Linked DNA regions of Neodiprion lecontei. The protein of the gene in region 1 purifies or fractionates together with the protein of each later gene. This does not show direct contact. Links are inferred from orthologs where the notes say so. Each region holds a gene or a part of one and is shown in the gene's direction. Other genes may lie near its edges. The genes, in order: N-sulphoglucosamine sulphohydrolase and formylglycine-generating enzyme.

Region 1 (17,720 bases):
TCTGTTGAGTTATATGCTAATACTATTTGTGCCACAATCATATACAACTATTCACTTTTCAAAAGAATTATTTATGTTTTAGAGTAACTGGAGACTTACTTTTTTTTTACAAACGGCAACTAACTGACAAATACGAAAGTACATGTATTGCTTGATCAAATATCTGTGGGCTCAAATATTGCATAAACCCATCTTTTACATGTGTGTATACATTTGTAAAAGGTTACTCAAGGGCAAATCAACATGGAGATAACGTTATGTAATCAATATATACACAGCTGCTGCCCATTTAATATACTGTACATTTGACATCACACACAATTTCGATGCAATGGAAAATTTAGGATTTATTATCTGTAACTCTGTCACAGCGACCTACATTTTCAAATTCAGAATCATATCATTTGTTTAATCAATCAAAGATATTGTTTATTGGTTCAGAACGTCAATTACACATTCTTATAAGCATGACTGTACAAGTTTTATGTATATTTAATGCATTCGACAACGAGTGGGACAAAAAAAAAGTAAAAGGGAAAGTTGCTAATCCAAACCAGCGCTTGATTGGTCAGGAATTATTGTAGAAGATTTAAACTGTGCAAACATTGCTTATCTTTCGTCTTGTCATGTAATTTTGGCTTCAGATTTCCGTAATATTGGCTTTAAGACTTTTGCTCACGTGAGGGAAAGCAGGGTAAAATTTTTAGCCTGTGTACTTATCTCTTCGTTCATATCTCTTGCCACAATTCTGCCATATTATTTCTCCAGATCACGCAATCGTGCAAAATTTATCTTATCAAAACCAAAAGCAATCCGAATAGGAGAGTTTCGCGGGCTTTGGTAGTATCGAAGTAAATATCATTATATTCAATGAACTGATTCATATCTATTCTGTTTGATTCTAGGTTAGCCAAAGTAGCAATAAGTCAAGGTGTTGAAGTTCCACTGGAAGACGGATTCGAGATAGAGAAGAAGTGCTACACGCAGCTTTTGGAAACGGAAGATCGTTTAGAAGGGCTTGCTGCATTTAAGGCGAAGCGTGTTCCAGTCTACAAAGGCATCTGATTCTGATTATTGTTTTACACTTTTAATAAGCTGAGATACGCTCTGTGCTGATAACGTGAGTTTTTATCAGTAGTCTTGCTTACTCGTCCTCGTTACAATAATCATATTACGAAAAATAGCAGTTTTTCATTTACAAAAATTCAGTTCTACAACCCTAGCACTAGCGGGCCATTGAAAGCATGAAAATGAAGTCACGAAACAGGGAATAATCACTCCTGTTATCAGAAGTAATCTGTCAGTGATACGAACTCGTACCAGGCATTTGTGCCAACTTAATTGGAAAGATAAATGACTAATCCAAATATGGGCTACAGTAATCAGTTACCAGTGATTTTTTCTTGTTTATAAGTGCGTATTTGCTTGAGCAAGTTAAAAAAAGAAAGTTATTGAGTCTTCCAATTGCATATTTAACGGCTGGATAATAATCAGTACAGCAGCCATCAAAGTTGATTATATTTTATTATATATTGTTATGAATATCAAGTATAACTTGAAATATTTTATACGATGTTAAAAAGAAAAATTGAAAAAGTATATATACCTATAGTTATTTTAATTTAAATCTTAGAATTCACAGAATTAATCGCAATATGTTTCTAAGTTTTAGAGATCTCTTATATCTCTCTATATAATCTTAAATTTTATAAAGTTTTTTTGTTCTTTTCGTCTTTCATTGTAATCTTTGCTCACCTTAAAATTTCCCTGTTAAAGAATGAAAATTGTTGCATTTGACTCTTGTTTTGTATCTAAAAGTTGAAGTTTATCTGTCCGCATGTGATATGCAACCGATTATCAGCATGATTCAATGTAGCGATAATAACAGTTCTCTTTTGTAATACTTTTTTACAGGCAAGAAAAACACTACGTAAGATAACATTTGATACAAATCCAATGCAATTACAGTTCAAAATAAACCATTCGTCACTATTGTCCAGTACGTTATCAACTTAACGCAAATATTTACACTGCTATATTATCATGTCTCTTTGCAGTGTAGGAGCAATGACAACAGGACTTTAACGTGAGCAAAGAAAGTATAATTCATTAAATAATAAGTAATTTAGCTTGTCATGTTTGGAGCTTATATGTTTCAAAACTTAATAAGCATAACGGAATGAGGGACAGGGGCATTTTTTGATACGTTCTTAGGATTATCTATCATATCAAAACCGCTATTGTTGGAGCATGTTAAATTTGTGTATTTTTATAACATATTGTACACCATCTCTAGAAGAGAAGTTTTTATTATCAGACACTGCAGATGAGTGAAGTCATAAGGTATAGTATATATATATGTGTGTGTATTATATATATATATATATAATATACATATACATATATTCTTTCTAAGAAATTAAATATTTTATTGTACATATTTTTACACGTAATATACGTATACCTATAATGACACTGTTCAATAATGATAATAAATTAATCAATTGAAAATGATGAGCAAACTTGTTTTGGCGATTGCGATTTTTATTACAATACTTGCGAACAATACAATGTATATGTGTAATTCACCACAGTAACAATACATCCAGAAGAGCTGCACTTCCTTACTCAATAGTATTCATACGTATTGGTTACAATAAATATGAAACTTCAATTACTTGCTTGAGGCACATATTCATTTCGACTGTTACTAACAAGTTTTTCTATTTCTAGGATTTGCACATTATGGATGCTTTCGTTCGTATCACTACATTGTAAGACAAAACACCTAGAAGGAACAACTAAGGGTATGTTTCAATAACAGAATATTCGTCAAGTACTGCAATCTTTTATCAAGTACATTCAAATCTTTTATTTTCTACCCGTGAGCTCATTTATAGTTTCTGTACATTATACATATAAATATTTTACAAACTTCATAACTGCGTAATGGAGTCAATTTGAATGAAAACAAAGTTATACATCATTAAATCTATTTTAAAATGATTAAATTACAACACGTTGTATTTACATACCTACATATTTTCAAACATTACGATTACACCCTTGAAATATTGAAATATCGTTACAATCAATTTCCACTAGGAATTTGAAACCACACTTAGATTGAAACTCGTTAAAGACATTGCATTGGAACAGGAAGCTGACCCTTGGACTGTTTTTCCTTCACAAGAGCCATCAACATCTTGACCTGCCTGATGGTATCCTCAGGACTAGTGACTCGATGACCAATTGTAAGATCACTCTCATAAATTTCATGGTCGTTGCCACCCGCTTCAGTTTTGTCACCGAAGAAATGAATCTCCTCATATCCCTCAATGTACTTCAAACAGTAAGTCTTATCCCACCCATTTGGAAAAATATCTATAGATATCTGGCCACCTACAAGAAAAAATTTTTCATATTTTTCATCACATTTATCATATTTTTATATTCGAAAGTTAGAACGATTACCCTAAAAATTGTAAGAATAAAAAAAGAAAAGAAATACTAAAATCGTAAACAAAAGCTTATATATCAATTTTCGGTTTGAAATCTCTATAATAGTTAAATATCTAATAAATTTATTCGATTTCACTCCATGATTACTTTGTTAGAAAAATGATACAGATTTTTTCCAGGTTAGTAAATTTAGTATTCCTGTTTTTCAATCAAAATCAATATCAGTGCAGTCTTGAAAAATTCAATATGCACCAATACCAGTACGATGAAAGAAAATTGTCATAGCGAGTTTATAGAGAGTAATCTCTTCTCAACAAAATAAGCCATCATAGAGTGGAATCGAACAAACCAATTACATTTTTAATCATGTTAAAGTGATTTGAAATGAAGAGTCAATATCTAGAATGTGGTTCATAATTTTAGTATATCTTTTCCTGTATTTGAAGGGAAATGTGTTCAGCTTAGGAATATGTGAATTTGATTAATCTCGAATGTGTGACTATCTCGTAATAAAATGAGCAAAAAGTATTTAATCTTGACTCTTCAACTTCCTTAAATACATAAGAAGTTGTGAATGTCGACACAAAAAAGAAAAATATGTCAAAAATAAGGATAAGTACCTATACTAAAGGTGAGTGGCAGGTGAGCAAACTCTTTTTTTAAGGCCTGAACAAATTTTGGTCGAATTAGATTTTCTTTGTCATATTCATTGAACGCGTTGCGCTCATCTCTGCTGCAGTTCCGCCCTATAGGCGAGACATTTATCAAGCCAGACCGAAACTCTATGAAAGTACCACGTTTGACTGGTATTTTGAGGTCTGCAATATATCGTAGACAGAAATTTAATAACTCCTGTAACTGATCTTCTCCAAGCGCATCTAAGATTGTCTGAAAAGAAAGAGATAAAGAAATAACTGTTAATCCAAATTGTAAGTAAAAAACATTAGGAGTAATTGATTGAAAGTATCTTGTTTGTCAACTTTCAATTCTCTTTCATTTACCTCGGTAGCGATCTGCTTTCCATCACGGTAGGCAATCAGCCCATTCTCAGCAAACACATATTTGAAATTATTCACAACGTCGCTTCCTCCCATCTGCTCTAAAATCTTCACCAAATCAGAACCACCAACAAGGGCAATATCAAATTCTTTTCTCACTGTTTGCAGCAAAAACTTTTCCATATCTGGTTTAACAACCTGGAAAAAACGGTTTGGCATTCAAGCATTACAAAGAGGGCATCTCAGACAAAGAAACGAAAAAAAAATTTGGCTTATAGATTATTTGTAATGGTAGCTCTTGAACCGCTTTTTTTATCAATTCCACGATCGGCTATAGAAGGGGAACATCGATCATCAGTGTTGATAAAATGTTGAAATTGCAAGACACATATGCATTTTCCAAAACGATTCAATTGTTGAATTTACGTGCTAATATAGATGGAAAAAAAATTAATATAAATTTTCGTTATTTAATATTAGGTAGCACCTTGACTAATGATATTTCAATTTCATTACTTCAGTAGAAAATAAATGATTCTCTATTTTTTATGCGACCAAACAAAGATGATGAAATCATTGAAGAAAAACCATCAGAAATAGAATTTTGAATTCGACCTTTTAAGTACTTTGATTTTAGTATTTCTGAAGAAAAAGCATTTGTTCTGAATTCCATTTCAAGACTCAAGTACTTTTTGTCGTTGAAAAATAGCATCAGCTTTCTATTTGCAGTCATCTGAATATTAGATTAATATTATTTTTCACGATGTAACTGGAATTCCCTAGTTTTTTTCCTGAAGATGTTCAGCATGTTTGCTAAGTATGGCAATAATGGAAAGTACCCATACCTGACGCGGAGTAGTCAGTGTTCCATCAACGTCGAACAAACAGATGATCTTTTTATTAGCCATAGTGTAAAAACGGTGGATAAAATTCTGAAAGTTGAATAAAACAATTAATATATGTAGTAATGTAAAGATAATGAACTTTGCGAGGCTCACACAGTTTGATGTGATAAGTTTTTACTGCAATTTCTCGTACAAACGATAACTTGAACAGGTCAAATAAATTTTTCGAAAATAACAATAACAATAAACCTGAATTCAAATTGAAAAAAACCTGCCGATTGAAGGAACGAATTAATATAGAGTTTGAGAACATCGAAATACCCTCTGCTCGAATCTTGTGGTGTTTCTAGAATGCCTTTCACTAAACAAGAGTAAAAAGATAATGTGGAGAAAAGGGAGGCGAGGCGTTGCTCAGCCGGCGTGTCAAGTATGACCACCGGATCCGTAGTAGACTAGTTATCAATACGTGTCAGGCGTACCTTGAGGTGTCGTCGACCGCAACGAGCGTGAAAACTCACGATGTGTTATAATTGTCAAACCGGTGCTCGCATCCAGTACGTAAATACAGTTTGCGTTTGATCAGTCGGAAACAGTTTACATACGTACACCAACGTTTTAGTACCACGTAGGCACTCGTCTCCTCTCTTTTTGTGCCGAACGGCTATCCCACAAATTCGTATCTCGCGTCCCGTTCTATTCCTTGGTTTCGGAGTGCCACGAACCTGCAGTTCCGCAGTTAACGTCACGCGTTAACACGTGGGTAAAGGCGATATAGGTATACATGCAGGAAGAGGTTTCTCTCTGCATGAAGATGCCACGCGGGAAGATTCTCATCGTTGCTGCTGCTTCACTTCTGGCTTCCCTGATTTTACCTGAGCTTGCATACGCAGATGCGAATCCAACATCCCCTAGGTCACCCAGGAATGTGCTGTTGCTTTTAGGTGAATGACCTACTTTTACTTAGATTGTATGTAGTGTACAGTTGACTGTTTTTTGTGATTTATGGAATTGCGTATTAACCGAGTTCGATCGATAAAGAAGCTAGCGAATCGCTAACATCGCTTCTTATGGCCTCAAGCCTACTTACCCGTCGAGAACTGGTCACCAAATTTGCCCAAGTGTAACCGTCTTTAAATTCTTCCGTCGATAAATTGTTCCAAACTCAATCAATGGGTGCAACAATCAAATTTTTACGATTTTAGGCGTATATGGATTATACGTTGTTGGAAAAAAGAACGCTTTTTATCGGCTGATTTGTTATGTGGCAAACCAATCAGATGCTACGCTTTCTGTTACGTCAAACCGCTTGTTTCGTCTTTCGAACTTATCTTTCGGCGGCAATTTCTTTTGTTTTTTACAGCGACTCAATTTTTGATCTCAAATTAGAAAACAATATTAAAATAGATTTATAATAATTTAGATATTTTCTAACGCGAGATTTTCTATTTTGTGCCGTATTATTTATAGTAATTATTGAGTATTAAGTTACAAAATCCTTGGTTGAATCCATATTAAAAAATTGTAAACAATCTATGTGTGCATTGACTGTTAGAAGGACTAAATATGTCAAACGAAAGTTCAAAGTTTAAGCTTTCAAACGTGATCCAAGCTCATTATAAAAACATGTTTACAATATTAAAATTGACAGAATTCTGTTTATCACGTTAATTTATTCCAGCTGTATTCAATTAATTAATCAGTAGATTAAATCTAATTGTATTTTCGTTGAGGCAAAACTACTAGGGAGCTTATTTATTATAATACTTTTATTTGGTAAATTTGGTGGCATATTTGTAATAACGAAAAACTATTTCTTGAGGTAAACTAGATATTACTGAACCATACATTTTTTTTGACACAATGTTTTGTTCGATTAAAGTCGTATGTGAAATTATTTCTTATATGCAGATAAATTATGGCATAATTTTCTGTATCTCACTCTGGTCACTGAATACGCTAGTTCATCAATAATTCAACGCATGTATTTATATTTTTTCCAGCTGACGATGGAGGTTTTGAAATGCGATCGTACAGAAACAAAGTTTGTCAATCTCCCAATCTGGATATTCTGGCGAAGAATGGATTGATTTTCAACAATGCTTACACGTCAGTAAGCAGTTGTTCACCAAGGTACAGATCTCTTTTACACATTGACATCTTTTCCAATTCTTAACTAGGTGCAATCCTTAGTTAAATCCCTAGTTAAATCAATGCAGTGTAACATTAATTACATTATTCGCAGTTAAAATTCTTTCATACATTCAAATCAATGTGTGTTTTTCAATTATTGAAGCCGTGCCGCACTCCTCACCGGACTTCCAAGCCATACAAATGGGATGTATGGGCTTCACCAAGGTGTACATCATTTCAATTCCTTTGACGATGTAAAGAGCCTACCTAAAATCTTGGGTCAAAATAACATTAAAACAGGTAAAGGATTTGCTGGTAGTTTTCATAACTTTGAATCAAAGGTTCACGAAAATTTTACACATCATTTTTAAATCAAGGTTAAATTATTATTGTGTTGTGAGATAATAATTTTCGTAACACTAGGAATTATTGGCAAGAAGCACGTCGGACCCAGCAACGTTTATCCATTCGATTTTTCACACACGGAAGAGAACCATTCAATTCTTCAAGTTGGAAGGAACATAACTAAAATCAAGCTCCTTGTTCGGGAATTTCTGTCTGTTAATAAAACCAAGTGAGAACCTTAATGATTATCTTTAGGTATGAAATAATCGACAGATTAATTTCTGTCACATGTCAAATATTGTAATGATTTTCACAGACCCTTCTTCCTCTACGTTGCTTTTCATGATCCCCATCGCTGTGGCCACACGCACCCTGAGTACGGCAATTTTTGTGAAAAATTTGGAAACGGTGAACAGGGAATGGGCACTATTCCTGATTGGAATCCTATTTACTACCAGTGGAAACAAGTTCAGTTACCTTACTTCGTCCAAGATACCGAAGCTGCTCGTCGTGACTTAGCTGCACAGTATACAACAATTTCGAGACTTGATCAAGGTGTCCCTTAGTAATTCCGTTGTAATATTAAATCATTATACTTCTTGAAGTTCAATACTGAATATTATTTGATAGGAGTGGGACTGGTACTGAAGGAGCTTGAGGATGCTGGTTTTAAAGATGACACACTTGTTATTTATACCTCTGATAATGGTATTCCCTTTCCTAGTGGCCGGACTAATCTGTACGATCCAGGTAAATTTTTTAACGCTGCAACGCAAACCTGCTGATACCCCAACAAATGCGTATCGGATTTAGGCAATTATGAATTTTGCATCATTTTAATGGTACAGGCATGGCAGAGCCGATGATGATATCATCCCCATATCACAAGCAACGTAGAAATCAAGTAACTTACAGCATGACCTCACTACTTGATATCGTACCAACTGTACTAGACTGGTTCAATATTTCTGACACAACACAATTTGACGACAACAATGTATCACCTCGAATCTCACGCACCGGAAAATCTCTTCTTCCTCTACTCAGTCAAGGTAAATCATTAAAAAAGATCATCGCTAATTGTGTAAGAAAAAATTGAATAACTTTAAGCTGGGGCTCAATATGTATTTTTTTATATAATAGCACAAGCTGTTTATCGTGAAACATTGTGACATGATGAAATTGTGGTTTTTCTAGAGCCTCTCGAAAATGATACAGCTGTCTTTGCAAGTCATACGCATCACGAAATCACCATGTACTATCCAATGCGAGCAATCAGAACAAAGCGACATAAGCTTATCCATAATCTTAATTACAAGATGCCATTCCCAATTGATCAAGATTTTTATATATCGCCATCGTTTCAGGTAATTAAATTTTTCAGCAAAGTAAAAATCTGAATTCTCTACTCTAACTTTCTCAGAATTATATTTTGAATGTGATGTCTGAACTATATAATCATATAGTTTTTCATTTTGAAATTTACCTCTGGCTTACGCCTCTTTAACATGTCATTTAATAATTATTGTTTTACCTGTTTGTTTACAGTAATATCAATATTTACCTCCTAAAGTTGATTGAAATTAGTGGTACATAAACGAGTATTTAATTTTCCAGGATCTTCTGAACAGAACGCGTAATAAGCAACCAGTACCTTGGTATAAGTCTTTGAAGTCATACTATAACAGACCAGAGTGGGAGTTATATGACCTGAAATATGACCCTGAGGAACTCACTAATATTGCATTCAAACCATCCATGAAGGTACATATTTATCATGAATACTCGTTATTTTCCGTGAAGTACAGAGCATTTGCAGATACAACTATGTTAACAGTTGCTATAATTTTCGACACATTTAATATCATGGAAACGACTAAATTTACTTTTTAACTTTGTGGAAAATAACTTTAAAATATCAATTTTCTAATGTGTAAGTGGTACAGGTCTCAACAAAATTTTTTTTTCTGTATTATTGTTCCTAAATGTAGGGTTAACAATAATTCCTTTTATTATTTCAGTACATAGTTACAAAGTTACAAACCAGATTGTTCAACTGGCAACAAGCCACCCATGACCCCTGGTTATGTGCTCCAAGTGGAGTTCTCGAAGATGCAGGTGCTTACAAAAATAATCCGCAATGCATGCCACTGGATAACTTCAACCAATGATTTATCAAGAGTCTCATACAAAGATAAGTATAACATAAGAAGCTATATAATTTTCACATATTTTTCTGAAATCTTTTTTAATAACAATTAAACATTGCGTTAATTTAGGATATACTGTGATCGATTTAACAATTGTAAGTTAATTATCTTGCCCATACTTTGGTTTAACACTGGGATTCGTAATTCTTAGGAAACAATAACTATACTCATTAACGTTATTGTCGAACCATTTTATATTATTTCCACTACAACAATTCATTCGATATGTGATTGTGACGTAATACACGCAACGTGTATGTATAATATGAACTTAATTATTACCTAAATATTATCTAAGCTTTGCAACAAGTATATATGTTACAATCATCGAGGAATGATAACAGTTTTTTTTAAACACTATATCTAATTGAGGAAAATGCTCTCTAAAAAACGACACATGCTACAAGCAAAGTAAGCTTTGCTTTTTATCAAGAGTAACAATAACATCTATGTTCAAGACTATCAAAGTATAAAGAAAAGATCAAACTTATATAATATTACACAGACAACAACCAAGTTTAAAAAAGAAATGTAATTTTTTCATTGACATTATAAAGGTACGTAGACAATTACAAATACGAGTTAAAATTATTTTAAATTTATCATTAATACGCTTAGCAGCTCTTATTTCTGTCATGTATGTGCTAATGGAATCATCTGATGTCTTATTTTATTGTAATCTTAATCGTCCAGTTTTCTATAGAATCATCATTCGTTATCATTGAATAGACGATTTCAATGGAATCCTAGCTGCGGCAAGTAAAATGGGAGACCAACAAAGACTTTATTTTATCAAAACGTCAAATTTCTCTATTTTCTCTACATACGATGGACTTTTACTGTTTTCTAATTTTCACATTAAGTTATTTATTAATATTTAGAATTTCCTAAAGATTATAAGATTGTAGTCAACTGAGGTAAAGAAATATTCCTGACCTCTCTTTCCCGATGTTTGAGAAGAGCTTCGTTGAGTTGTCGAACATAAGCAGATGACTTATTGGCTGACCTCTCAACCACATTCATTTCTGCAGCAATTTCTTTAATCTAAAATTGCGAATCCACATGTTATGGTTTGAGTCTTTTTATGATTATTGCTTTTATAGTATTGCATGCAATATGGAAGTACGCTCAATAAAGTGTTAGTCTGAATGTAAGTTGACCCGCAAATTTACGAATTTGTTTCAAAGATTTTTTTTATATGCTGAATATAAGTCGAATTTTAGGGAAAAATGATCTGTTATCACACGGGTGTTTGTGTTGTATATTTTACATACATTGCATCATTAAAACTTCAGTCTGTTGTATAAATATCTCAATTTTAATTTGTTTAGACTTCTGACCGATGCTATTTGAAAAATTGTAATTTTGAATTTGGGAGATTTGTGATTTTGTTGGTTAAATTCTACAACAATTGGTTGACAACAAAGTTTTTTCGTCATTATAGCAAATTTCCTCAGCAAAAATCCCTTATTAAGAGGATTTCAAGAGGAAAATTGGCTAACAAAAAACTCCAATTATATTCAGACCAATATGGTACGTAGCAAAATTAAGCTTATACCGATGGTGAGATGAAAATATGATGTTTCATGTGGCAATGAGTGAAGTAAAATAAAAAGTGAGAAGGCATTAAAAAAGATGTTTAATAACAAGGCAGATAATGCAAAAGATTTTTGGTACTAACGTATTGTTTGTATTCCATGAATCTATAGTGCTTCTGATTATTATCGTAGATCTGTTTAACCTGGATCATGAGTACGAGAAAAAAAATAATGCCACCGACCAGTACGATCGAATGCATTTTTCTCGTCCTACGTAATCCCAACATCACATAATTACAGCGTTTCAAAAATTTTCAATTGTTTCGCACCAGAACTCATGATGCTTGGACAATATGTACACATGCGTTATTATTTTTCTTTTCTTTGACATATGTATCACGCGTGCCACGAAAACGCATAGAATAACAATATTTCAAATACTGTCGTAATATTTTCAACAACGTTTCGAGCAGTTTACTTTAAAGCTATTCGGTAATCACTCCCAACTACCGTTTATACATTCTTTATTTGAATGCGCAAAGTAAGCGTAGTTATTTTAGTACTCGATCACGCCCGACTTTTATTCGTAAGTTGCGTCCCACTTGCAACGTTTTGACAGATTATATCCTAGCCTAACTTAAACTAAGCAAACCTAACCTAAGCCAAGCTAACCTAACCCGTTCAATGAAGTCAGTAGTCAGCCCGTTCGAAGACATAACCTATCAAAAAACGGACAACTGGTTCCCGCAGATTCGCGATTCGCTCTGTCTAATTATTGCTGTATTATTCAGCAAGAGGTAGAAGTATTGAGACCAAACCGTAAGTATTTTACCCTCATAGTTACAAAAAATATGCTTTAATTAAATGTCAACAATAAGTTTTAATTCAAGTTTCTATTCAGAAAATGCATTAGTTACAATCTCTTACCGTATTAAATTCAATTAACGTTAAGAAAATGGATGAAAAAGAGAGTAAATCGTATAGAACTATTGACATCTAGATTGATCGTTTATCTTTTCGATTGATACGCAATGTGTGGACAATGACTTCAAAAACTTTTCAAATTCGTTAGGACATAATAGAGGTACTGAGAATGAGCCGTTACGTCGATCTTGCTAAAGTTACAACAAATTATGCAAATCGCATGAATCGTCTGAGCAACAAAATATTTGGAGAAGTGGTCCGAACTACAAATGCACCATCAATGAAGGTCGTTAAGTTGTTCAGTGCAAAGCCTATGAATAAACGGCAAGAGGTCGTCGATTGGTATCCAAGGCATCCCGAAATTGGAAAATTAATGATGAGACTTCGCGAGTATGGTCTATTCAGAGATGAACACGAGGACTTTAAAGATGAGATGAAACGTTTGAGAATTCTACGTGGCAAAGGCAAGCCTGAGAAGGGAGAGAGCAAGAAAATAACATTGTAAGAGTGGATAATTACTCTACTTGTATGGTCTGGAAATATTTTGAAATCTAATAGTAGCATAAAGTTTTTATAAACCGTCTTTGGAAAAAGATAATGGTAAGATGTTGTCAACATTTTGATGCCGTGGATACATAATTATTTTCACCGGTAAAACATTGTTAAATAATCAGAAAATAAAATAGACTACAGTCACAAGATAAAGTGTTGTACAAAACCATCTTGATTGGAAATGCAATGTATGCGATCGCCCGAACAAGTAATCTTCATCTAATGGCATCATAAAGTCTAAATCATACAATTCATCGCCTGTGCTTATTGTTGTGGATTTTCGTATCTCTTTGTCGTGATTTTTTTCAATATTTTTATCTCCTGAATGACTAGACTTGATTTGCACCGCTGGAAATTCAGCCACAGTATCCACTATTCTATTGGCAGTTTCTCTACTTTGGCCAACTTCTTGGTACTGCTTAAAATTATCTTCATCCCTTCGTCTCAGGATATCAAAGGGTATTCCATACTTTGAATTAAGTCTGCTATAGTTGGTATATACTGCGTTTTCTAGTCTGGGAGGAATAACTGGAATTTTTGACAAACTGGAACCTTGTTCATGAATCTCTTTTTCGACGATTTCTGTCCATAGTGGCTTCCAAAGTCTATCAATGGGTTTCTGATCGATGTTCAATCTAAACCTCGACAAGTTTGAATAATTCCAAATGTTAGTGCCAGCCGTCATACTGCCCGGATGTTGATCATGTCTACAGGTATTTTTGTTGGGTTTACCATCATTGTTTCGTTCCTCCATTACTTTATCGTTTAATATTAAATCATTGATCCATGATCTGGAATGTGAAAATGTTTTCCATGGCACATTACGCTGTGTCAAATTTATGGTACTCTCATTTTACCTGAATACACTAAGTCCTAGATAAGTAGGGATCCCAGCGCAGTCCAATGAGAAATTGGACCAAGAGGCAATTCCTAATAAAGTCATCTGCTGATATTGATCTTCGCAGACAACTGGGGATCCAGGATTTCCTGCACATGCTTTTATTCCATCTTCCGCGTCCACAATGGCGCAGAAGACATTGTTATAGCTGGTATTCCCCTTGAGCATGTACATACATACTTCCCAAGAATTAAGAAGCACGTGACTGTACTGGATCGGCTTTGCTAAAACTTTTGTCGATGGAGCGACATAGCTTTGCCATCCAAATATGAAACATGTCTTATAGTAATCATCTAGTCGAATTGGGGACACGTCTAGAAGTTTGACGTTGTCGTCGCACATATCAAATGGTTGTATTAATTTTAGCAGAGCAATATTATGCTCCTTGTCATGTGCCGTTGAGTAAGCTTGGTATTCTGGGAATATGTACGTCGCTTTTACTCCGATCGTTTGTCCTGACTGTGTGCCATTCAGCCCTGTGGCATATAAGGTGATGGACTGTAATTGAATAGAGAAGTCTGAGTATACACTCATTTGTAATCGTTTGCATGAACTTTGGGCATTATAGTGTTAGCAAGTATATCTGAGAAAGGATTCTATAGTTCCAAAGTTCAAATTAATAAACAGTACAAACGTATGTAATACGTACATTTCGGTTGAACTGAACGCATTGCGCAGCTGTAAGAACCCAGTCAGGAGAAACCAGTATTCCACCGCAAGGAATAATTGTTTGAAATTGAATTAGCCAGGGGAATTGGCTACTCTTGGCTCTGGCTGCCCATAAAGAAACTTCCAAAGATTGTTTTCCCCAATTTAATAATATGACAAATAATACTATCAACTTTGACATATTTATTTTGGTAAAAAAAAAGACTACTCTTGACGCTGATTTGTTATATTTTATGCTGGTAATGCTAAACTGAGTTATTTAATGCACAAACACATGAGTAACTTATTACATGATAGGAAAAAATCATTTGCACAAGATCCAGAGGAAAAAAAATAATCACGGTAATTAGCTATAAAAACTGATTTATTGTAAAATGAGTCACAACAATTTTGTTTAATTATGGTATAAATGAAATCGATATAATAAATTCGCACTATTGAAAATTATAACTTTTCTTTACACATCTCTAAAATAGAAACTTTATAATAACGCAGGTAAAGTTAGTAACGTTACCGTTACGAATAATTATATGAAAAGTTACCATTTTAGAGCTTCAGAACAACTCTGAAGGGGTTGAATTTGCAAATATGAGTTTCTTAATGCTCCATTAGGTCGCTGAATTTCACACAACAGTAAAGTTGCAAAATAACGAGTCTTCTTGAAAATGCATCGTTATATTTAGATCAACTTCAATCTCGTTTAAAATGGATGTATAATTACTGGTACAAGATTTTCTTTAGAGAACGTTTTGGTAAGAATATTTTTATTTACAACTATTTATGCGCAAGTATTCTTATAATTCTTCTTTCTCATTCTTTGGTCTGTTTTCATTTTCTTTATTGTTTTTACGAGAATTCTTCTTATTTTTCTTTTGTTCGATTTTAGGTCGTCCAGTTTCACCCTTTTCCTTTAAGCAAGTGTCATCTTGTCCTTTCAATGCCCGATCGGAACACAGATATCTATATAAAAACAATATCACATTATTAAATATGTATTAACAATACAATAAGATAATATTCATTACTACCTATATTAATAAATAGATCTTAGGTTATAGGATAACAGTTTTCCACATTTAGATGTCATAGTTGGCTTGTTTCAGGCAATGCATGTACAACTGTGAATTGCAAATCAGTTTTTAACTAAATTCATTCCCTTTTAATGTAGTCGGAAGTGTATATTTACCGGCTCAATGGAATAATTCCTTGATGTTCAAAATACCATTCCTCAATGTCACCTTCATGATTTTCCAGTAGAGACTCACACTGAGTTTTTAGCGTAGTTATCTCTACTGATGGCTTGTCCCAAAGTTCATATGGTATACCCAAGTCGACCTTTACACCCTTGTCCCTATTATGTAAACAATGATTAATATAATTTTTAAAAAAGACTGATAGTTTAACACGCTACGACCTAATATCACCTTAAAATTTCCATTTGCAATCATATTTCAAAGTTAGTATTCAGTCCAGCTTAGTGAATGTAAAAAATTTCTTGTTTGCATATCTTATATGAAGCTGGAACTCACAGACATTTGTTTATTTGAAGTACAATAAGTTTTCAATGAGGATTCAAATATTCCTAATCATTGATACTTGTGGTTTTAAAGTAAAGTGTTTCAGTTCTTCATTTCGAATTCTGTTTATCGAAGAATAATTTTACACAGTGATTAAGCTACATTTCCACATATTGCATTTTCAACTGTGATAAAATTATATTATAATTCATGTCGTCTAGTATGAGTACCTTATCAGGTAGGTAGGAGTACATTATTAAAAAAATGTAAATCAATAGCGGTATCAGGCTGAAGTTAAGTGAAAACAGAAAGACTTGCCTCTCAAGTTGCAAATATTGCCGAATGTGAGACTTTTAGCTAAATAATTATTCAAAAAAATAGTTGGCTTGTAAGATGACTGAGCACAACTTACAGCTTCATCACGTACAGTTGAAATTGACACTCACTTTGCAGAAATATGAATTTCGTTTGTGGAAATCTGTTAAAATTATCGACAAAACTCGACTGTATGAAAAACAGTTTTTGTGTTTTTCATGAATGGCATCCAAGAAATAGGGAATGAGAAATGTTACAATACTTACTGACAAAATTTGGTAACGGCAACATTGGCTAAACAAAGTGAGTGTCAGATAATAAATAGAAGTAATAAAGGGAAAGTTTACTTTACACTAGACCATGCAGAGTTTTGAAGGTTTGACTCATTCCCTTGGAAAACCTGGTGCTGTCTTCCCTTTCCTTATGAATATTGTATTCGAGTATTCTTTCGCATATTCCCTCGAGAGATTCAACCAATCTCAGTTCTCTGAAAGAAAATGAATTCCAGTTTAGCAGATCACAAAAATACTGAAATAAAACATAAAGAGCAAACCTACGATTTCTTGTATTCTTTCTTCTTCTTTGGAGCCACGTCGTCTACCGAGTAACCTATTTCCAAAACATCTCGAGACTTTCCTGTTTCTTCCAACCGAGCCTCGAGCTCTGTGGCAAGAACTTTGCACACTACAAGAAAAATAGTAAAATGGATAAGTGAGAATATTTGAAGCAATCCAAGAAAGTTAATAAACGGTTTTCATCGTGTTATGAGGTTATTTTAGTTTAGGTTAAGTTACAAACTTCCCAGTGATTATTATTCGATTTCGCCAAAGTGATATCAATGTTTCGAATTCAATGTATTTACCTTCGCATTTATTAGCGTATTTTACACCTTCCTCTTCTTCTGGTCCTCCATAAACGGCGTGCAGTACACAGAGAATCACTACTATTGTCTTGTACATGGTTTTATTCACTTTGTAACAGCGCGTGTTGGACATAAAATGACGAGACGCGACTGAAATATCATTAGAAATTATTCAGTTTATCACATTTTCATATAGCTTATTACTGAGTGAGTTGTTGATTTCGAAATGTTTAAAAAGACCGGCGTACCCGTTTATAACACGGTAGTCCAAATAGGCATGTGAACCACTGCCAGCATCGCATTGAGCGCATTCATATCAAGTGTTCAAACGATTTTTCCTTTGGAGCGGAAGCCATTCATTGGCCAATCCGGTGTTGACACAGTATTCTATATAATATGACAGACAAAACAATTGGGCCACGTTTCGACGAGGGATTGTAAATTCATTCATGGAC
Region 2 (15,861 bases), on another chromosome or scaffold:
TTGCAATCTCACCAACAAATACTTGATACAAAACATATAGTATGCCTATTTCGGATATAATTCACAGTAAGGTTTTTCTCCTTCGAAGGAGGCTCCCGGAAATCGCTGCGAGTCGAACGAAATTATGCCAACATGTACAGCTGAAAACAAATGAGAAAAGCGTAATTATGCGTTAGTACTTGCCTATTTTAAGTTCCGCAACAATGAAAAATTATAAATTCGATCCCCCGCCAATCACCATACTTACGTCTGGTAATCCATTGTACCAACACTTGTTCGTCTGGAATGCCGTATCGCAATCATCGGAACCCTCTGCGAAACGAAAGAAGAAACATGAATGGGAAAGTTTCATGGAACAAGTATTCCAACTTTTATACGGGTGCATAAAGTAGAGTTTTTTTTTTTTACTTCGGTTATAAACGATAATTGTAAGTGTTACTTGCAATTAAATGTCAGTTTTATTTTTATAAGTATGATGATGTACGTAGACATTATATGTGCAACTACTTTGGATACGGCTTACGTTAAACAGCACTTCTTTAAAACTGCTGATAATTTGCTTTAACTTCGTTCATCGAATGAAGGAAGAAAATAATTATAATAACGAATTTATTCTTTACGAAACTAGTGTAGAATATGAATTTAAAAAACTGCCATCGAACTTTCCTACTGTAATAAGCCTTTAATGGTGATCGGTTTAGCTGGACCTCCCATTACTACGGATATCTTAAACATACTCACTGACTGTTCCACAGCTTCGAACTACTGGCTCAGCGTCGCCCACGACGTGCTCGGGTAATACTGCGACGATAGTTTCTACGTCGATGTTGCCGTCATCAATCTAGACATGGAACAATTAAATAACGTTTTGGGTGTTCCAACAAACGTGTCACTGTAAGTGAAGCTGATAATAAATCATCGAGGCGTGTTTAATATTGTCACACAGAATCCACCGGTTGTCATAATTTTTTCGATTTTTATATTTCATTATAAAAAGTTCAGAGATTGGTAACAGGATCAGTCGGACTAGGCGAAATTCTCTGGGCTTTATTCCCGCGCTACTCAATGGCTGTGGATACGGTGTGAGATGTATTTATACTGGGTTATAATTGGAATAATGGTCTTGCTATGTGTGTTTGAAGTTTGCGTTCATTGCGTGGTGTTAAACAGAAAAAAGGTGGATTATAAAGAAGTCTCTTTTAATAGCTATTGTGTAAAACGAGATTATTTCGCAATGAAATCGGTGGATAAAAGTTTTAAACCGTACGAAATGACTCGATATAAACTGACAATATCCGCAATCGTACGCGCAATCTGTAGTTGAAAGGATTTCAAGTCATATAAAATTATACGAAATCAGCCAAAAATATTTGTAACCATGCTTATGTAGGTCTTTCGCTGGAACTGACGAAATTCTTCATTTTTGGTACATTTTTTTTTTTTTTTTAATGACACCGTTCGATTTATAAAAAATGCCCCCGAAGTTTCAGATTTTCGTCTGAATTTCTGTTCGTGTTATAAGTTTTCAAAAAAACTAACGAAACGTAATACATTTATAACCATACTTCTATATTCTATAATTGATAAAAATAATGAAATTCACTTACACCGGAAATTTGTTCCAACAGGCACAGCATGTAACACTGAAATAGAACCGTTGTAATTATCATAAGCGAATTGCAATGGAAATAGAAAACAAATTCCTTGGCGTTCGATTGAAATGACTACACAAACACTTGCAATTACATGGAAAATAATCGAATGCAGGGTCAAATTTAGCGCAGGGTGCCAAGGGAGGCACCCCGAAATCTCTAGATAATAGAGGCCTCCATAATTAATTTTCGCAAATTTTGAACATTTTTTTTAATAATAAAATTTGTTTATGTGACCAATGAAAAATTTTTTAACTCAGAAATATTACCATTTATATTTTTATTCACTTCGATTCTGTTTAAAAAAAAACTTTCAGAAACAAGAATATCGAGGCGAAGGCCCGACTCGCCTAATTTCGATTTACCTAGCAGCTGGATTACAAATTATTGGTTACCTTCAACTTTGGGTCATCCGGAAAATTACCGGTTCTTGCCTGGACGATCAAGTCTGTAAGAAAAAAATATAAATGACCATCTGGTGATACGATAAAACGAAGAGAAATTATTATCGGATTGTTTAATCGCACAAGCTCACTTACCCTCGGCGACGCCTGTCTCTGCGACGCATGTGTCGTGTAGCATTTGTACCATTTCGGCCATTCCATCATCTGCCTGTTAAAAGTATAATCCACAAGTCTGAATTTAGATATGAAATTTCCGATCTTTGCGAAACAGGCGTTCGAATAAAAATCAGCTAATACGACGGTCAAAATTTGCATTCTTAAACAATTAGAATAGCAAAGTAAAATAAAGAAAAAATTTCAACGTCAAAGAAAATTGGAAAAGAAGCAGAAAGCTGCACACCATGAATCAAAGTTGGAATTTGCAACAACGAGTAGAACGAATTTACGCAAAATCAAAACTCACCATCGATTTGGCAACGAAAAATATCATTATAACAAGACCGTAACTAAGCTTAGACATTTTATCGTCGTTGCAATAAAAAAAAAACTAGGTCTACTAATTACTTCCTGATCGCTAATCGAACGAAATAAACCGCGCGTACTGGATCAGACTGGGGTGGCATTGCTCGGGCAACTACTTATATAGGCGAGGAAGATTCCTGGATCTACCTGAACTAATGAACAAAATTAAGCTAATGACATTTACGTGCTGCCGAGTGCAGCCCCAACCGCGCCTAAACCCGTCATTTTCATAAACACACAATCCAACACCGTGTGATTAGGTACTGAAGCGATGTAAGTTTCCTCCATCAAGGCAATCCGCGTTTGAGACAAGACAATTGGTAATATCTGATAAATGCTTTCAATTTCAGTATGTATTTAAAATGTGGAAATGACGTTTTACATATTCCAAAACAAGCAGATTTGAACGAGCACACTCTATTTTCTATTGAAAATGGAAAATAGTAGGTATGCATGGCATTAACAATTTGACAAATACCTCTATTGAAGTACTTTCGACTTTTACGGGAATTTATAGTGCTGTCAGTGCTATTCTTTCATTATTGCGACATTTAAACGGAGACAATTTTCCAAATAAAAAATCCCCGTTTAGTCTCATAGTAAATAGTATAATCAAAACAGGCAGGCTACTTGTTAAAAATACCGGGTTTTCCTAATTTTATTAACATACCTGTATCGTTGAAAGTATATACGATATATCCGGTAATTACATGACCGAATGGAGAGTTTTATTTTCTCGATTGGAGAATAGTTGAGTTTATACTACGTATCGAAATTCTCGTTCCGTACGACAAGATCGAAGGTTTATTTCTGAACCATCGCGAAAAACAGTTGCACACAATGAACTCCTTTTTTTTTTTTTTTTACTTACTAGTGTTAGTGATCGTTTGTTTCTATATACATAGCTTATGTTTTACTTTTCATTATTACTCTAATTTTATTATATGTTATTAAGGTTGTTCCGACTCGGTATCAACAATGTTGTAATTATGTTTCAATAGATGCATTAAATATGTCCTGAGGATGACTCCAATCAGGGTCGAAACGTTGACGGCAAAAACTTGTTGTTAAATAATGACCTACATTTCCAAGATCCACAACAGAACTCCCTTAATCACTACGTTAGTGAGTGTAACAAGGAATCCGTGTTTAACGAAAGTGGTTTCGTAACTAACATTCGGTTTCCTTAACGAAAACGCGACGATAACCTTTCTGTATTTCTTTCCACTTTTTACGCTGGAATCAAAATTCTTTGCAAATTTTGAACGTCTCGTGCGAGAATCTTCCTTTCAATCCATATTCGGCTTTCAACTGTGATTTGGTGTGAGGCTAATAATATGTAATTGTAACAAGAAACAGAATCACGAAAAAAAAAAATCTGCCCGATCAGGGCAAAATTTCGTTATTGCATGCACATGGAATTACGCAAGAATACACCTATGGCTGATTGTAAGACAATTACACGAAATTATATACCTATAAATACGGGCTGCAGTTGGTAAATACAGCTTCTAACGAGAATAACACAAGTTTGCATTTATATTTACCTTCGCAAGTAGTTACACGGTTCGATTCTCTCCATTGTTAAGTGGAAACCGAAATATAAACTATGTGCACGTTGCAGAATTATTAGCCGAAATTATGCATTCTTTACGATCCTCTATAAAAATCTGAAGAATGTTGTTGCGACTGTACAATAGGTGTTGTCTTTTTCGTATATCATGAATCTGTTGTTAGAAATTCCAGGGCGACACACAGTGGGGAATTTTCATGAAATCGTGGAATTAAATCAGGGCATCATCAGAATTTTGTCAAATTTGGTATACCAACGTTTCTGGGATTGCTGATTACGAATATAATATCAAAATTTGGTAAACAAAACGGCGGATTAAAACATGAAGTTCGTAATAAAATCGATGTACAGAAAATCCACTTTCCCTAGGTTTTCGGGAACGCTGATTACGAATCTGATATCCAAAATTGGATAAAATGTAGTACTGAAATTAGCTCGCCGGATGTCACCTACATTATTATTTTATGAGTATACAATTAACAGTTTTTGCAGAAATTAAACACTCGTCATTCTTTGTGGCATTTATTTATCAATATATCTTATAACTATATGTACCGTATATAAGTATTATATGTATAAGAAAATATTAACGAAAGCATATTTATTGCAGACTCAACCGCAACGGCCACTTTACTGATCTGAAAAGTGGGCCAAAAGTAGCGTATGATTCCCTCTGATACTTGTTCCTGCATTTGCGGGGAAAAAGTAGCACTTTTCAAGTCAATAGTAATCACAGTTAAGTCGGTAATAAAATCCTGTATGCAACATGCGAATAAACCAATTATTCCGTTGTTAGGTAACGTTCTATTTAGCGTATAGATATGCAGTGATAGACTTTTATAATATTTATACCCATTTCAATTTTATTTCTCTTTATTTTTGCTCTTAGTAAATTTGGCTGAGAGAAAATTTTATATACATATAGTTTGCGGATCGAAATATGTATGTAAAAAATAGTCGCCATCTAATTTTCTTAAAGGAGTATTCTTACCATTAATCGGAAAAACTTGATAATTGGAAATGTTGGAACAACGCTATAATCGTAAGTACTGTACAAATAAATATGTATAAGCCATATACATAAATGAATTTGAGCGCATTGCACTAAACGTTGTGATGTATAATCTGTATTATGCATATTTTGTGTGAAATATATATATATATATATATATATATATATATATATATATATATATATATATATATATATATATATACATAGTTCACAATCTATACGTATATAGATTGTGATCCAAGTAATTCCTTATATCATGTTCCAAATTGAAAATTTATACGTACTGATTATGAGATATACACACGGTTCTTACTGGAAGGAAAAAAATTACCAATGACTATTGTAATTTGTAACTAGGAAAATTTCAATTAAAAATTACGAACGTAATAGTTAGTATCGATTTTTCTTGGAACGACAGATTACATTTGTAATTTTATTAGAAACCAATTAATTACAAAAACGCCCAACACTGATCGAACTTTATAAATTTATTTCTGTTCGCTGATAATGTTCATCTATTCTAGACACCTTTTCGTCGCGTTATCAATTGTACCTAAAGGAAGTATAAAGGTGAAGTTGGTAACGAGACTGTAACGATGTTTAGGAAAAATTGTTATTTTACACCATGAAGTTGAATTTTAGTAAACCATGATAAACAAAACATACTCTCATTTTGAAAAGCTGACTCCTTCAAAGTGATCATAATTATATATTTTTAAGTATATATATTTTTCCCTGACGTTTCGTTGCAATTATTTTACTAACTTCAGCCTCATAAGAACCTGAACTAAATAAAAATTCAGAACCTCCAACATAATTCATCTATCATACTATGATAATATAATTAAAATCATTCAGTAGTTTCCTTTAATGGTACTTTAGTCTTGCCGTACATGGCGTCTAAGAATAACCCTGAGAAGACTGTAATCGTTGCCAGCCATTGTCTGGGTAATAAATTATTACCAAATAATAAAACAGAACCTAGTACAGTAAAGAATTTCCTAGTAGTAGTCATAACGGAACATGGAAGAGGGCCGAAATCTGACACTGTTAAGAATATGAAAAATTGTCCAAACGCTCCTGCTAAAGAGAAGGAAACGATGTGCCATAGGCAGTTTGGATGTCTCTGCATAAATGACAAGAATTGTACAAGCTCTCCTGACACTAGGATAACCGAAGTACTGAATATAAATGACCAGAAATTCATGTTCAGCATCATGTGGCCAGATTTAGATTTGTGCTCTGCTCGCATTCTTTCCTGTACCGCTCCAGTCAGTCCATCCATCGTCAATGACAGCAGCAGCAAAAACTCTCCAAAGCCCATTTGGCTTTCGGTCTGCTTGGTATTTGCCACATTGTCTTTGTACATGAAGAGAGCAACGCCCACAACGATCAGTAACACGAATAGGTATTTCCTCAATGGATAAACCTTAAATGAAAAATTAACCATATTTTTAGTTGAACGACACATCTTTGGTTCGAGATAAGAATTATCATTATTTTTTATCATCTCACCTCACAGACCAGTCACTCTTAAATTTGAATAAAACAGTATTGCGAATGTTGTTGAGAAAATTATGAACGAATCATGTTTTTGCTTTGAAAAAATCTTGATTAATACCTTGGTGGACAAGAGGAATATTTACAGTAGTTTTAATCTAATCGACTAGAAATAACAGACTTTGATGGGGCATCGACGTGTTGCTTTAAACATGACAGAGTAATACTGATATGAATAGGTAAGAGAACTATTGCAAAATCTGTAAAAGGTTTGAATAATCGACAAGTTAAAATCTCACCTTCCTTCCGAGCAGTACACCGAGTATCATAACAGGAATAGGCTTGCCAGCCTTGCCGACAACCTGAGTAGGATAGCTGACAAATTGCAAAGCCATAGTACTACAAACCATAGCGAGTAGATAAGTAAGCGAACTGACAGCATAATAAATTGTACGAGTAGAGTCTTCGCCTTGTTTCATAACAGTCAATAGTATAACTTTGGCAAACATGTAGTTGAGCAAACATTGGACAGAAACCAATGCGAACGCGAATGTGAATTTTTCGGGTTTGTCGGCATCTCCGTACTGTCCTCTGGTTATTTTTTCTTGAAGAACACCGAAATAAAAGTAACACACGAAAATACCAGCTGCACAAACGAGCAACTTTATTTTCGACGATTTCTGACTACCAGTCATTATTGATCAGTTTCTGTCAAACAATATCTACATGTATTCCAAACGGTATTAGAACCGCGACATATGCTCATCGAGGTTATACCGGACACGTCCACGTCTCGTCCACTTTAACTATTTCTTGCGGCTTTGCACACGCGACTGAACCCGATTGCACCGCGCACTTATTGCTCAACGCGCGGTTACAGTTTCAACTTCAACTGACGTTTCGCCAAGTGTCGCCTCTTTTCGTGCGACACGACGATAATGCGTCCGAACCATTGATAACGCGAGTTTGTAGATCACCAAATTCTACGCGGCCAATACTAGTTAGCCATCGATTCAGGATAATTTGTACCAAAACAATTGACAGCGGCGTTGACTGAAGAATATATCTTCAGTCAACGACAGCGGCGACGACGATTTCCATTCGCAGCGTCAAAAAGGGTTGTTGACGTCAGTCAATTGTTTTTGGAAAATGCGTGCCGTGTTTGTAGCAGTTTTAATCGTCCATACTTTCCTTATCAAGGCTGCAGAATCTGAGGGAACGGATTGTCAATGCGGTAAAGTATTGAATCGAAAAACAAACGATGATCAGAGCGGCAAAACTGAAGGTTTCTGTTCCGCCGGTGAGAGTGAAGCTTGCACTGTCAAAGAGAATAAGTACGAACAGAGAATCAACGCTCACGATGGAATGGCGATGATAAATTCGGGCACCTTTGCCGTCGGTACAAACCAACCGATATTCGTGGCCGACGGTGAGGGTCCAAGACGAAACGTAACTCTGGACGATTTCTACATTGATGTTTACGAAGTTAGCAACAGAGATTTCGAGGAGTTTGCCAAGGCTACGGGGCATCGAACAGAGGCTGAAAAATTTGGGGATTCTTTTGTGTTTGAGGGATTATTGAGCGAGGAAACAAAGTCTAAGATAAACGAGGCGGTTGCTCAGGCACCTTGGTGGCTACCGGTCAAAGACTGTAACTGGCGTCATCCTGAAGGTCCTGATTCCGACATACTGGGTGAGGTTTTCTTCTATACATAGGTAGTCCAAGAAAATTGGTGAGAAGTAGACGCGCTTCGATCATCACAATCTTAAACACGTTCTCTATGACAGACAGAATGGACCATCCTGTGATTCACGTCTCTTGGAACGATGCCACAGCTTTTTGTAAATGGCGAGGCAAACGACTGCCTACGGAATCTGAATGGGAAGTTGCGTGCAGAGGCGGACTTGTAACTGAACGTCTTTTTCCTTGGGGTAACCGCCTCACTCCAAAGAATCAACACAGGTAAGCTAGTATTGGAATTACGATTGTTCGATTAATTTTTATTTCATTACATCCTCAAATTCGGCGACGCACATTCATTTTTAAATGAAAAATCATTGACAATTGCTTGATTATTCTTCTTTTTTTTTTTGACAAAATACGCACAACACATTTATATGATTCTGTTAAGAAACATGTTACTTATCAATTATTTCTTTAATCTTATTACTAGTATAGAATTTTAATTTACTTTTTCCGTGCAGGACCAACATTTGGCAAGGAGTTTTTCCTAGCAATAATAGTGCTGAAGATGGATTTGTGGGGACAGCACCAATCACAGAATTTCCACCAAATGGTTACGGACTTTATAATATGGTTGGAAATGTCTGGGAATGGACTTCCGATTGGTGGGTAACTGAACACAGTGATAAACCTGCAAAAAATCCTGTAAGTATAACTTTCCTGTGATAACATACACCCAATACCCTTGCAAAAATGAATTCTATTCTAACACAGGAATGTTGCAATTGAAAAAAACTCTCAAAAAAGCTATGATTTATTGCTAAATGATTGTCCTAAGTCAAGATACACAATTTCGAGTACTGGTATTCTTAATAGTTTATGCCAAGCACCTACATTCCATGTAATAATTGTAGTTAAATTTCTCAAATTCATGATCAGTCAAAATTTTGTAGGTCGGACCGTCAAGTGGTACAGACAAAGTTAAAAAAGGAGGCTCATATCTGTGTCATGAGAGTTACTGTTACAGATACAGGTGCGCTGCGCGCAGTCAAAACACACCTGATACTTCTGCTGGCAATCTCGGCTTCAGATGTGCTATGTCGATTTAGCAATATCTGAATTGTACTTAGGTTAAAATATTTTGTAAATACTGGTACACATACGCATGATTGGATAAATTTTTATCAAAGTTTTGATTCTATTTTTAAGCCAGGTCCAAGTCTTCCAGAATAATGTTTGACGTTTAGTATACGTGTGTAAAGAATCATTTCGAAATATGAAGGGTTTACATTATTCCTCAGAAATTACGAACACGATTTTTGGAGCTCGAGATACAGATTTAAGTAGATTGTGATTGTAACCTCAGGTAAACTGTACGTATGGAAAAATGGTAATAAATTTTTCAGAAATTCCCAATCTATTATCAATGTTTCATTCAACGCAAGCACATTTTTGTGACAGCGATCAGCAGGTTATTTTGATTTTATAGGAGCCTCTGGACTTCATTTCCTATTACTAGAATTTATTTTCAGAGATTCCATAATTTTGGAATTATACATCAATAATGTTTGGCAATGAAAAAATTACCAATGCTATAATTTGATTTGATGTTTTTATTTTTTTTTAATTTATAAGTAAAATACTCTATTAGAAATTGATTAATCAAAAAATGTAAATATTTTCGATCCATATTGAATATTGAAAATTTCGTCTACTTTTTAATGACTGTTTGACTATTGGTTTCATTGAAAAAGAATTTCTTAAAATAACCTTAACCTAAAGTATTGTTTGAGTGTATGATATCGAGTATCATTTTACTATCTTAATTTTTTTTATGGGTTTTTCAATCGGCTTAACCTCACCAAATCTCGCTCGCCTCTTTTCTATTCTTGACTCCATTTCAGCCTATAAACAATAAATTATATGATTCATTTTAAAGGCATTTCACAGTAACTGATACACTGCATTGATTAAAAAACTGACACATACTTTTTCCATCACACTAGAAACCGAAGCGCCGAACCTTTCAGCTCTCTTTTTCAGCACCTCAAAGGTCGTATGCTGAAATTAATTATTCACGAGATTTTAATATCATCCCCAAGTTATAAGTGTTCCACGAATCTAACTGTCAAGCTGATTTTGTTCAAAACTTACCACTGGAACGTTTATAGATGCTGCTGACTTACTATTCTGCGTGTTTGAATTAAACCTGGCCGACCTAGCTTCTTTCTTTGCAGACTCAGATAGAGGGACACCAAATTTCTTAGCTCTCATTTCCAGTCTCTGTTCAAAAACGATAATTATCAGATGGTGGATGGATGGAGTATAAAATTTGCAAAATTAATTATTTTTTAACAAGTGCAATAGATGAAGATATTTAGAAGCTGTGAATTTCAGTTGAAAATGCAGGTATGTGACAATCACAAAAAACGTGTAGTTATCATTTTTACCTCCTTAACGCCCAGTTGAGAAAGTTTGATAACCTTCTTTTCAGGTTCACTTGTATCTGATTTATTATTATTCTCTTTTCCAGTTAGCTCACTTTGGATATCTTCGAGAATTGGATTACGATTCAGTACTATTTTTTTGGAATTCGCTGAGTTACTTTCTGTTGACAATTTTCGCTTTTTGCCCACTTCCTGTGAGTCGGGTTTACTAGAAAGTTCCTCTATCTCTTCATCCTACAGGTACATATCATTCATTTATAAAAACGGGAACAGATATACAAACTTGATTCAGACCTGGTAATGCATTATTATTTTAGTGAAGAAACATAATAAACCAATACATTTCAGAGTCTTATATTCGGAATATTATCAATATTTCTGAAAGCTAAAAGGACGTAAAAATATAACTTACTCCGAGAACAGCATCCTCATCTAATATTTCATCCGTAGTCTCGTCAAGTGATAAAGTCGAATCTGTGAAACAAAATATCGGTGGCTGTCAAATATTGAGTATTATTTAATGCAATTCATTAATCCTGGGTATCCTGTAATTAAGCTAACGATTATGGTTTGCATTTTCATAATCCTACCTCCATGCATTGCTAATTGAAGTCGTTCTACCAGCTCGGTTTTATTTCCAGTCGTGGGCAGTCCTCGTTGCTTCAACTCCAACTTTAAATCTGCTACCTGTAATGAATGTCATCAATTGATGCATCAAAATTATTCCCTGCTATAATTAAGTACCTCTCAACTATCGAGAGGTTGGAAAATTGTATTCAAATTTCGAAGAATCTATAATCAACGTTATAAATAAAACCTGACACAGTTCAATCCATAAAGGATAACAGTACCCTTTTTTACAGTAAAAGATCTTTGAGACTTGAATTACTAGAATTTTTCAAGTTTGATTAGTGCACCTTCGAAGCAAAACGTGTTCAGCAATTTGACAACTTTCGGGATGACGATGGTTTCATATATGAAAGTTAAAACATATTACTATTCGAATGACAGAACTCAAAGTAAACTTTCTCCAAAATATAATCATTCAGGGTGCAATAAGATGGTTGGATTCGTTGAGGTTAACGTAAATATTAAATACACAATCGCCGCATGAAACAGTGCTAATGTATGCGCATACCTTCATCTTGGATAACTCGGTTAATCCTTTCTCGTAAGAAGAATCAGCCATAATGAATTATTTTTAATTACTAATTTTCACAAGCGGCAAAACTTTTCGTATTTTATCTCATTTATCACAGAGTTTTGGTACAGGTAAACGCAACAGAGCAAGCCAACCGAAATTCGTAATCACAGTTCGTAACTGTGAAATGTAAGAGGATACGAAAGACCGGAGGAACAATGGCGAAATATAGTCACGCTGATCCCGCCAGTCTCGACCAGTGGCATTTAGCCACACTGATTCAGCCCTGTTTTATCGGTGGCGCGCTTTCCGGCTTGACTGAATTTCCGTATGGCAATGCCGTACTCCATACTGACCAACGGAAATTAACCTCGTTTCAGTTTTTCAAGTGAAATCTATTTTCCTTGTAGTACCGGGTCTGTTACGAAGATTCTAATTGCCAAAATCAATGTTTTTCGGAAGCTCAAAACAAAAACACTGTAACATTTAGAAACGTCGGGCTTTTCTCTGGCGCATCTGGCGGTTGATTGAAAAATAAATTTAGGCCATCTCTCAGCAATGTAAATAAGATAATTTGAGATTTGAAATCTGCGATAGATATTTCATCATTGGTAATTGCAAAAGTTATTCGAAAAGCAATATCTCGAACGGAAATCGAATTGAAAAATCGAAAGAGTGAATCAGTTCTAATGATTATGTATTTTCAACTAAGGTTGCACGTATTGCATTGATCGTGCCTGCGAATTCACTCGCTATATTCACAAAACAGCACTGATTTACTGCTACATGAAAGTCACGTAAGGCACGGATGAACAGAGTAAATCATTTGGTCTATAATTTGGAGTGAGATGACAGTCAATGAAAATTATTACACCCACAACTATTTGTGGCGATAAAAGTTCCAACCGCAAGTGTCGTGCCGATTTATTTATTTATTAACTCTTTAATCTCTTGCCGTTATAATACAACGCCAGGTGCAGATCCGTCCACACGGTGAACGTCAATTTTCTGATATTTTTTGATAAACTAAGTTCTACATAACATTAATATGATGTTTACACAAGCCGCCAAAAATTCGCTCGAGAATTACGACAAAGCGTTTCATCGGCACGCTTTTTACGTAACCTTAGCTGAACCCATGTCACACGACATCCACACTGGTCGGCGGCGTCGCATTAGGAATTGGCGAGCTAAGACGAGACACAGTCTCAAAGGACAACGGTTTATGTACGTGACGCGACAAACGAAATAAACGAAAATGCTGCTCCAATTCACAACCACAATCACAGATCAAGCGGAACGTATCTTGAGACCGTTCCTCGGCATCGATATCGAATTGAAATTCGCATTTCATTATAATATAGCTGTCTTGTAAACGTAATATTTCCGCATGAATTGTAGTAATTGAGTCTTATATGTATATAGTAATGACTTTAATAATTACTCATTAAAGTACGGCATATTTGATTAATAAAAAACATCGCGCTAAAGACTGATGATCTGGAATGTGCTGCACTCTATGCGAAGCTATCAGTGAACATCCTTCTCAGCAGTTGTAGATTTACCTTGCTGTAAAATTTCTATTGAAAGGCATATCCGGAGTATTTTTTTCGTCCGAGCTTCCAACAGCTTGATTAATGCATCGAATAGGTTGTCCATTCGTTACGATTATTCGTAAACGTGGAGAGCGGGAAGAATCTCGTCGGATGAATTCAAATAAACGGGGCCAGCCGTGATTGACGGGTACGGAAATCACGTGGTTGCAATGGCGGGAAATCGTTGGAGTATTTCGAGCCGCGTACGCTTGGTGTCTCTACTGTGAGAACGCCGTCGGCAGAGTTTTGTCAGTAAACATCTCGAGCCAGGGTTAAAATTGAGGGTGATATCGTGAGAGTTTGTCTATTTTGTAGAGTGAAAAGATCATCGGAGTCTACGTAAGATTGTTTAATGAGTGTGGTTGGGCGCGTGGTACGCTCACTGCGGCCACAAATGATCAGGAAAGTTCTTAACGAGGTTGTCACGGAGGGAAAATGTCAAACACCTCGCCAGTAATAAATGGTGAAAACACTGGGAGCGTGGATTTTCGGGAACTGCTTACGGCACCTGGAACTACGGCTAGTGGAGTTAACGCGGCCGCGGCTCGTGCGGCATACAACATGGTTGCAGCAATGAGCGAACATTTATCAACTAACGTGAGGCAAAACGAGTTCCAAACCGCTGCCGAGGATAGCAAGGCGGGCATATTAAGCTTCCCCTGCGACTTCGACCACATGTACGCGAGTATGACAGACGGCGGTGCCCCGGCGACATCGGCACTCGGTGTCAGCCCCCTCCGCGGCAACGAGGCTCGTCACCATGACCTCACCGAGGTCAAGCACCTCAAAGAACTACTACTTTTACATCTGGACCTGATACAACAACAATCCGAGCAAATCGTTACCAAGGATAAACTATTAGCGGCTCTCAGGCAGGAGAATGAAACGGTATACAAGCAGACGTTCACTAGTACTAATTGAAGTGTCAGTATTTATTTACAGAGATATAACCGTATCGCTATTTCCCTACAAGTGACGCTCCATGTCGCTAAACATGCCTTGGACAACAAAGTTGTCACGCACATGCTGAAATGTCATTCAATAATCTCGCTTCACCGTCAAGGTCATGCTTCATGTACCTGCCGTTGGGTGGCGTTGTAACCGCTACGTACATTTGTACACATTACAATATTCACGTCTCTGACGCGTTTCCGATGACATTGCTCTGTCGGTAATGTACTCTCGCTCGGTACCGATAGCGTTTCACGCGGAATATTTGGCTACCTAAATTTGAACAACTTTGTTGAATCTACTGAAAATTCAACTTTTGTAGGCTTGAAAGTCCTCATTCCTGCTCAAAACTAATATTTCCTACCACGTCTTGATTTTGTGTATTTCAGCTGAAGTTGCGTTTGGAACGGATGGATAGACGAGTCAATCTACAAAAACTACGATCAGATGTAACTGAAAATTCTGTATTACCTGATCACGCCGGGGCTTGTTCTCCTACCAGTCTGAATTCACCAAATACGGCATCCACTAGTGATCATCAGAGGAATACTGAGTCCGAGAATAGCAGTCCTGCATATAACGAGAGTTTTAAAATACGTTTGAATACAAGCGGAGGTATAACTACAGTTAAACAAGAGCCGAGTGAAAATCATGTCAAGAATGAATCCAAGCATGAAACTTTTCGACAAGAATCGAGTAGCGACTCTCGACATGATTGGGAAATTAAGAAGAAAAGGAAGTCCGAATCTAGTACAACATCAATTGGAAAACGCAAGAGAGGTGTATCCTGCTCGTCGACAGTCAGTAATGACACAACTTCCACGATACCAGACAACAAGAGCGTGACTCACGAGAATGTTAAGAAGACGGATAAAAAGGGAAAATCCATTACTAAAAAGGAATCCTTTCTAACAACGGAAGAACATTATTTTACATCCATAGGTGAGCCCAACTACACGTTAAGTCTGTCGGAACCTGTGCCTTCAGATAATAGTGCTTCTCTGGAGGTCCCAAACTGGAGGGTTAAAGTTTACACCAGCTGTTACACAATGGAGGGAACAGAAAACTTAGATGATGAAATATTTAACAAAAGACATCTCAAGTTGGAAAATGATGAAAGGCGTCGAAAGAGATGGGACTTTCAACGGATAAGGTAAGTGACAAATATTTTCCTACTTTGAATTTATATACGAATGGCAAGTTTTTTTTTTTAAACATTCAATTTTGATTTGCAGGGAACAACGGCATATCGAGAAGCTAAAACAAAGACAAGAACGTCAAAATCATCAGGCAACATGTTATAATACGAACCACACCGGACCATGCCCAACGCTACCGGCAGAAGAGGCAGTAAGCACATTGTGGCCAGAACCAGAG

What was found.
Region 2: the proteins of N-sulphoglucosamine sulphohydrolase (region 1) and formylglycine-generating enzyme purify together in Homo sapiens (co-immunoprecipitation; 3 studies listed by BioGRID and IntAct, with this or other methods). This does not show direct contact. The link is inferred for Neodiprion lecontei from reciprocal best matches to the Homo sapiens genes SGSH and SUMF1.

Annotation. Positions count from the first base shown.
Region 1 is NC_060264.1:8,249,061-8,266,780, reverse strand, and holds N-sulphoglucosamine sulphohydrolase, read left to right. Parts: upstream 1-6,086; coding exon 6,087-6,246; intron 6,247-6,392; exon of another isoform or gene 6,393-6,499; intron 6,500-7,305; coding exon 7,306-7,435; intron 7,436-7,598; coding exon 7,599-7,735; intron 7,736-7,858; coding exon 7,859-8,009; intron 8,010-8,096; coding exon 8,097-8,335; intron 8,336-8,410; coding exon 8,411-8,530; intron 8,531-8,628; coding exon 8,629-8,832; intron 8,833-8,977; coding exon 8,978-9,147; intron 9,148-9,397; coding exon 9,398-9,544; intron 9,545-9,801; coding exon 9,802-9,951; 3' UTR 9,952-10,362; downstream 10,363-17,720. Other genes in the region: methylglutaconyl-CoA hydratase, mitochondrial, read left to right, coding at 906-1,065; phosphomannomutase, read right to left, coding at 3,137-3,402, 4,083-4,350, 4,464-4,658, 5,306-5,368; 28S ribosomal protein S33, mitochondrial, read left to right, coding at 12,622-12,957; protein canopy 4, read right to left, coding at 15,366-15,531, 15,758-15,922, 16,756-16,890, 16,961-17,087, 17,266-17,398. UniProt on the Homo sapiens protein: Catalyzes a step in lysosomal heparan sulfate degradation.
Region 2 is NC_060263.1:36,070,520-36,086,380, forward strand, and holds formylglycine-generating enzyme, read left to right. Parts: upstream 1-7,604; 5' UTR 7,605-7,815; coding exon 7,816-8,359; intron 8,360-8,454; coding exon 8,455-8,629; intron 8,630-8,640; exon of another isoform or gene 8,641-8,871; coding exon 8,872-9,055; exon of another isoform or gene 9,056-9,303; coding exon 9,304-9,459; 3' UTR 9,460-9,920; downstream 9,921-15,861. Other genes in the region: uncharacterized protein LOC107219570, read right to left, coding at 248-312, 742-841, 1,608-1,643, 2,048-2,100, 2,192-2,264, 2,520-2,576; solute carrier family 35 member B1, read right to left, coding at 6,017-6,595, 6,966-7,361; SAP domain-containing ribonucleoprotein, read right to left, coding at 10,160-10,255, 10,340-10,411, 10,505-10,633, 10,801-11,031, 11,210-11,271, 11,388-11,484, 11,936-11,986; male-specific lethal 1 homolog, read left to right, coding at 13,969-14,421, 14,874-15,637, 15,720-15,861.